Linked DNA regions of Danio rerio. The protein of the gene in region 1 interacts with the protein of each later gene in a biochemical or structural test. Links are inferred from orthologs where the notes say so. Each region holds a gene or a part of one and is shown on either strand. Other genes may lie near its edges.

Region 1 (3,515 bases):
AAAGTATCAATTGTTATTTAAGGTGAAGTTAAGGACAGATCACCTGAGGCACTTTGGCGAGGGTCATGTTGGACGGTCTCTTCACCGGTGAAGTGTTGTTCTCCTCTTCCTCCTCATCCTCATCATCTGACTCCTTGACACCTGAGCAAACCACAGAGTTGGAGGCATCAATATTCTGACATCTGTAAGTGGCAGGCCTAAATGCTAACATCCACAGAATGGAGCGACATGCTGAAAGTGTCTGAACAGCATGAGCAAAACATATGGAAGCGATTATACAGGCATAAATGGAGTCGCATGGTAATTTATAATTCACTTTTGAGTCTGTGTAGAGAAAGAGAGAGAGAGAGCGGGGTCAGATTAATCCCATGGACACTGCAATAGGTAGAAAGAATCGTTCCATCACAGAGAGATGAAGAGCAAACAAGAGAAGCAAAAGACACACATGGGAAATGGTCCTCCTGAACTCTTTGTTTTGAGTGCATGTGTCCGTTTCTTTTTTAACCAATGAGAGAAGACAAATGGTACTCACTGACAAAATGTTGACCGCTGATGTAGACCGGCCCCCCTCCGGACTGCAGACGAAAGGACACAGGAGGAGTGACCTCAAAACCGCCCAGACTTAACTAAAGATGAAAAAGGGAAGGATCTCTTTCAACAAACACAATGGAAATGTAATGGGCAATGCGCACAGCTAGTGTTTTTCAGCCATTGATAAACTTCTGAAAGGTTAATGTGACTATCAATTTTATTTCATAACTTTCCTCTTACAGCAGAGGTGTCCACACTCTGTCCTGGAGGGCCGGTGTCCTGGAGAACCTCCAGGACTGACTTTGGACACCCCTGTCTTACAGCATCGATGATGTAATGTAGTTAAAATACAATCAGTTAAATAGACTTAAGCATTTAGTTAGTTGTTCAAGCGTAAAACGAGATGAAGGATCATGTAAACACTAGTGCCGTCAGAAGCAGCAGTCTAGCACAGAAGCTTCATTAGAAATACTGGGCATAATATCCATTCATAGGTCACTTTATTAGGTACACCTGTCCATCTACTCGTTAATGCGAATTTTTAATCAGCCAATCACATGGCAGCAACTCCATGCATTTAGGCATGTAGACATGGTCAAGACAAACGGCTGCAGTTCAAAGCGAGCATCAGAATGGGGAAGAAAGGTGATTGAAGTGTCTTTGAATGTGGCATGTTGGTGCCAGACGGGCTGGTCTGAGTATTTCAGAAACTGCTGATCTACTGGAATTTTCACGCACAACCATCTCTAGGGTTTACAGAGAATGGTCAGAAAATGATAAAATATAAACTGAGCCAGAAGTCAGAGGAGAATGGCCAGAGTGGTTTGAGCTGATAGAAAGACAACAGTAACTCAAATAACCACTCGACACAACTGAGGTATGCAGAAGAGCATCTCTGAACACACAATATGTCCAACCTTGAGGCAGATGGGCTACAGCACCAGAAGACCAGCTAAGAACAGGAAACTGAGGCTACAAATCGCACAGACTCACCAAAATTGGACAATCAAAGATAGGAAAAACGTTGCCTGGTCTGAGGAGTCTCGATTTCTGCTGCGAGTTCGGATGGTAGGGTCAGAATTAGGCATCAACAACATAAAAGCATGGATCTATCCTGCCTTGTATCAATGGTTCAGAATGATTGGTGGTGGTGGTGTAATGGAGTGGGGGATATTTTCTTGGTACACTTTGGGCCCATTAGTACCAATTGAGCAACTGAGTATTGTTGCTGACCATGTTCATTCTTATGACCACTGTGTACCCATCTTCTGATGGCTACTTCAAGCGGGACATCGCGCCATGCCATAAAGAGCAAATCATTTCAGACTTCTTTTTTTTTTTAACATGACAATGAGTTGACTGTACTTAAATGACCTCCAAAATCACCAGATATTAATCCAATAGAGCACCATTGGGAGTGGGTGGAATGGGAGATTCGCAGCAAGCACGTGCAGCCGACAAATATGCAGCAACTGCATGATGCTATCATGTCAATATGGACTAAAATCTCTGAGGAATATTTCTAGTACCTTGTTGAATCTTTGCCATGAAGGGTTAAGGCAGTTCTGAAGGGGGTCCAGCCCAGTACTAGTAAGGTGTACCTAATAAAGTGGCCTATGAGTGAACATTTTCATATTTTAAAGACATGGCAGGGAAAAATGGAATTTAATGCATTGCTTTTTGTCCAGTCTGAGACCTGCTTTACATCCTATATCAAACAGGTAGTAAAGATAACTGATTTGTAATGAAATCAGACCTTGTAATGGCAACAGTAACACAAAAAATTAAAAATTAAAACATGTTCTTTCTGTGCCAATGCTTTGCAAAAAATATAAATAAATAAAAAAATTCAGATGATGAATAATTCCCAACAAAAACAAGCGAGAATTCCTTCCAAGAAAGAATTCATGACTAGGATTCGTCCTGAACATTCCATGCCAGTACATCTGAGACAGGCCTACAGCTAAACATCAGAATTGCGCAATTGGAGAAATACAAGCCACGGCCAACAATTTTGAATGAACATTCCAACGCGCCAGGCAACGGCCCTTGCATCGATGGCAACCAGATGTAAACAGCTGAGGGCGCGATGGTCTGCTTAATGCTTTAAATGACAGCTATGGAACTGTTGCAATTACGTTGAATGGCGAGCAATCCCTCATGTCCAGAATCATCTCAGATGATCCGTTTCAACACAAACGCTGACTGATGAGCTGATTGTCTCTAGAGCAATCCAGACAAAACCGCCTAATTACGCTACAATTATTGCTCTACATTTTTTTTTTTTTTTTTTGAGTCAGTTATCCTGGGAGTAAAATCCAAGATCTTACATTCATCACTGAAACAACAATAAATACGGATTTGAAAATTAGGAAAAGTTTTAAAGTCTGCATGAACCGGAAGCTGCAACCCTTTTTTTCCTTAAATTGTGACGCAGTTCGTAGAGAAACTAAATATTACATGAGCAAAAAGTGGGCGCGGCTTTTTTTCTACTGCAAGCTGATTGGATTTAGTAAAGTAGGCATTTCATTTAGGAACTTCGGGAAAAGGGTTTTAGTTATTACAACCCATAGATATTGACATTAGATGTTGCCTACCCTGTTGTTGTCTATTGGAAAGAATGTGTTAATGGAGCCGCCATTTTAGTACAGGGTAGCGCTCCTTTGAAATGGATGCAGACCAAGGTGCAGTGGAGGACTGGACATCCAGAGCCAGAGATATATAAACATATATACATATATCGATGATCGGGAGTTTCCCGGCGGTCAGCATGCGAATATTTTTTTTTTTTTAAATTTACGAAAATTATAATTTTACATAACTTTTTTTAAAATTGATGGATGAGTGATCACATGCACTTTGCCGACAAAAAGCATGCGTTTGTGTGCGTAGAAATGTATTATCTTCCCTCCTGGTTACATTTGATCTAATCCGTGTCCTGAAACACACCTGTTCTCCAGCTTTCACTTCTCATTCTAACAGTG
Region 2 (4,244 bases), on another chromosome or scaffold:
CAAACGTAACTATTTCATGTTTTGCCAGTTTAGTGACGAATTCGCACAAATTCAGTCTGTAAGATTTTTAAAAGGAGGCGTGGCACCCAACCCCATCCCTAAACCAAACCATCATTGGGGATAAGCAAATCATACTAAATTGTACGAATGAGATCGTACGATTTCATATGAATTAGACACTAAATGGAAAAAGTTGTGAATTGCATTGAGAAAGCCATGTTTTTTTTCCCAAAAAGAACGAAAACATAACGTGTATCAAGTGTTGACCATTTTATAATTGTTATATAATTTTTCTTCTATAATAAATGAAAACGCACAAAGTGTGACAAAGTCACAAAGTCGAATGCGTATTTAAGCATTTATGTGGATAGATGACATACAAAGTTAATGCAAATGTGTGAATAGAGGCGAAATTACGCAAAATGTGCAAGGTGTTTGCCATTTAATTTTCCCCTATCGCACATTCTGTGCGAGTTAAAAAAATAAACTGGAACAGAAAATTTAGATATGCAAAAAACATCCCGCAAGCCTGACTGATGCGATGCTTCGTGTCTGGTGTGAACCAAGCATATTCGCACCTATAATACTGTTTCTGTTTTGTGTGGCAATTTGTAGCAACTGTCATTTGAACGTTTTTTAGGAAAAAAACAAAAACAAAAAAAAAGACAATTGTTGCTCCTTTCCCAACCCTTATATTATTGATTTGTTTAATGAGTGAAAACATACAGCTGGAAAATTTCTCAACCATAAAGTTATATATATATATATATCCTTTAAAAAAATGTGGCCTTAGTGAATTTATTAATAATTCTATGTGTGATTTTTTTTACTATTAGGGTAATTCAAGTGTATTGCAAAATACTAAAAAGTGTTGAAATGTGAAATGATCTCATTGTGCGGCAAAGGCAATAGGTTTTTTTAATCTTAAATATTTGTTTCGGAAAAAGTAAAGCTACTCTTAAAAGGTATATCTAAAGCAAACTATATGAATAGGTATGGGATATGAGAATCGCAAGCACATGCAAGTTTACATATTGCTTCGATTTTTTTAAACAAACAAACAAACAAACAAACAAACAAACAAACAAACAAACAAACAAACAATCAAACAAAAAACAAAACAAAACAAATAAACAATCTAGGAAGCAGTGCTGCTATGTCTTTAAACGTGCTGGAGTGAAGCCAGTAACATGAATGGTGCTGGACACGTGAGTTTGTCTCGATGTGGTCTCTCCTCTTAGTATTTCTCATGTTTTCTCTGGCAGTTGTCCAATTCTTTTCTCTCTCTCTCTTTTTGCGCCTCTCGTGCCCCCTCCTTCCTCGTGTTATCCACCCACGGGAAAAGTGATTTTCGCCTCTCTCTCTCTCTCTCTCTCTCGTTTTTTTTTTTTTTTAAATGTATATACCTCATCCTTATCCCCAGTCTGTGGACTTATTTCCGTGTGGGAAGCAGGGATGCATTTAAAATGCCCCCATTTTTTGTTTTACTCAAACCAATCCGCGTAAAGTCTTTCCCCGCAATTTCTTGAATCCGCAGTAGCGTGGAGATCAGTCCGTGCACTGTCACACTGCGAATGTCTCGTTCAAATTGCAATCGATCACCGGGCTTATTTTATTCCTAAAGCCACCCCCACTTAATTCTACACAGGAGACTTTCCCCTCTGTGTGTGTGTGTTGTGAGCCAAATTCTCCAAACCAAGACGCAGCACGTGCTTCTCACAAACACACAACGCGCTTTAATTTATATTTTGCATGAGCGCACCGGGTTTGAACGCTTTGTTTTGCTGAGCGCGGGACACTGACCGACTGACTGACCGATCGGCCGAGAGCTCGTGCTGCGGGAACTGAAGGTGCGCGAGACTCTGTTTGGATCTCATTCACACACACACAGGATGAGCGCGCGCGGAGAGGAAGCCGCCGGCGAGGCTTCAGGATCGCAGGAGCAGCCCGAGCCTGCGCTGGCTGAGCCAAAGAAGAGGGGACCCGGCAGACCCAGAAAGCCGCAACAGGTCAGTGTGCGACTCCTTTACCTTTGCTAAATTTAGAAAGGACGCGTTTAAACGTGCTTGTAAACATTTTTAGTGTAAGCATGTTACTTTTTGCGCACTTGTTTACGCACTGCTTAAAAGCGGAACTGGCTGCAGGTGTTAAAGTAAATATGGACATTTTTTAAACTTAGTTTACACAGCTGAACACCAGGATAGTAGACCAGCATAGTAACTAAGTGTTGTTTAGGATGTTTTTATTTTTCGGCAGAATCAATATAACCAATTTGGGATGTTTTTAATTAGCTCCGTTAATTAGATTTAGTAAATCTTTATCCCCTATTAAATGCTGTGCATTGTGTTACACAAAATAAGGTATTGCATACCTTTGCACTTTTGCACACCATGTACTTTAGTACACGTTTATCTGTGTAATTCACACATAACAACCATTTTATAAAGAGAAAATCAACATCATGAGTTTAGTTTTAGTTTTTTCCTTTAATAAAAAGTCCTTACGTTATCTTTTTTTATTTCAGCACTTACATTTTGTTTATTAAAGTGCATATTTCTAATTAATGTAGATGGATTGTAAAATATTTTTAATTAATTAATGCAAGACTCACTGCTGTCACTGCTTGAAATGTCAACTACATAATGTTATGTCAAAAAAGTTTATTCTACTCAATTCAAACATGGTGTTTTTAGACAAAAGAATCTGTGCTTTGCTGTGTGCATTTAAAGTTTCTCTCTGTCGCAGTCTGAATGTATAGCCTGTACAAGTATTAGGCTTATTGTACGAGTAGCACTTGTTTGCATTTGTACAGGAAGCCCTTTTTTTCCTATAGCAGATAGCATTCCAAAATTACACGCTTGCCATCTGTTGATCACAACGCTCTATTATATGTAATGCTAATGCACTTCACAGAGTCGCTCTGGTTGTCTTAAATGTAAATGCAAATGTATATGCTGCACTACAGGCTTATTTGAATGTGCTGAGGTGAAAGCCAGTTTAGAAATGTTTAATCAGCCCAAATTTGATTTAATTTTAATATTTGAGAAATGCTGTGGATTGATATTTAGATTTTTGTTGTTGATGTGGTTACTATAACAACAAGAATGTACTTGAAATGCACCGAACATTTAACTGTTTAGTCATTACCACATCCTTCAAAAGTCTTGTTTGTGCTTGGAGGATGTGATTCACTATCTCAAGTAATTCACCAGTGAGTCACGCTTGTACCTCTAATTGCAAGTGGCCATCAGGATGAGCTGGCAAGTGGGGTTAAAAATAAATCAATCAGTCATTAAATGTTGATTTTAGTTGGCATTTACCACTGTGATAAAACAAATAGTGAATTCAAATGAATTTTCATTTAAAATGAAGATTTTATTCGGGCAGATAAATTTACTGTACTTACTTATATGTATAGTAGTAATTGCTCTTTTATTGACTCTGTTATAATTGCTTTGTTATCTTGCTGTTAGTTCAGTTTAATCTTACATGGCTACAAATTGTAAACATGTCTGTGCTCTTTGCAAGAATTATAATTAAAAACAGTTGTTGTTTTTTCTATATGCACATATGCTTATAGACACATCATTGTTTGCTCTTATCTAGTAAAGAGTGAATGGAAGACCACTGGTTAATGTGTGTATGATTGTCAGGGACCCTGTATTCTTTGAGACTGAGCAGAGTGCATATATAAACAGAAATATTTGGACAATTTTTGAAGGGCTACCTTAAAAAAAACTTTTCTATAATTTATTTATTATTTAAAATAATTTATTTATTTATTTATTTATTTATTTATTTATTTATTTATTTATTTATTTATTTATTTATTAATTTATTTATTTATTTAATTATTTATTTATTTATTTATTCATGTATCTAAGTTATAACTAAATTAATTCTAATGCAAATAACATCAAAAAATAATCAAGGTGGACTAGCACTATTTTGGAAGTATTTGGTCCTAATGTGTGCTTTTTTTATGGATGTATGTAGTCATTTCACCTCAAGCTGACACAGTAGCATAACCACAGGTGTAGTTTGTCATATTACCTAACCTAAGCACATGATCCAATAACATTTGATCTCAGGAAAGTGCTTTATCATTTGAAACCTTAAAAACTTGCTTCAAAATTGTGCTTTTGCATTTATCCAAATAAATGACTTTGGTGATAGAAAGTGGCACAGCAGTACTCTATAGATTTGTTTGCTGTTTTCATGGCCTAAGTTCACCTCCTCTCCCC

Evidence for each region. The genes of interacting proteins can lie anywhere in the genome.
Region 2: the proteins of npm1b (region 1) and hmga2 interact in far-western blotting, tested with the Homo sapiens proteins (2 studies listed by BioGRID). The link is inferred for Danio rerio from reciprocal best matches to the Homo sapiens genes NPM1 and HMGA2.

What each region holds. Positions count from the first base shown.
Region 1 is NC_133189.1:6,162,403-6,165,917, forward strand, and holds part of npm1b (nucleophosmin 1b), read right to left. Parts: intron 627-3,515; coding exon 533-626; intron 142-532; coding exon 44-141; intron 1-43. UniProt on the Homo sapiens protein: Involved in diverse cellular processes such as ribosome biogenesis, centrosome duplication, protein chaperoning, histone assembly, cell proliferation, and regulation of tumor suppressors p53/TP53 and ARF.
Region 2 is NC_133179.1:13,434,527-13,438,770, reverse strand, and holds the start of hmga2 (high mobility group protein HMGI-C), read left to right. Parts: upstream 1-1,440; 5' UTR 1,441-1,892; coding exon 1,893-2,009; intron 2,010-4,244.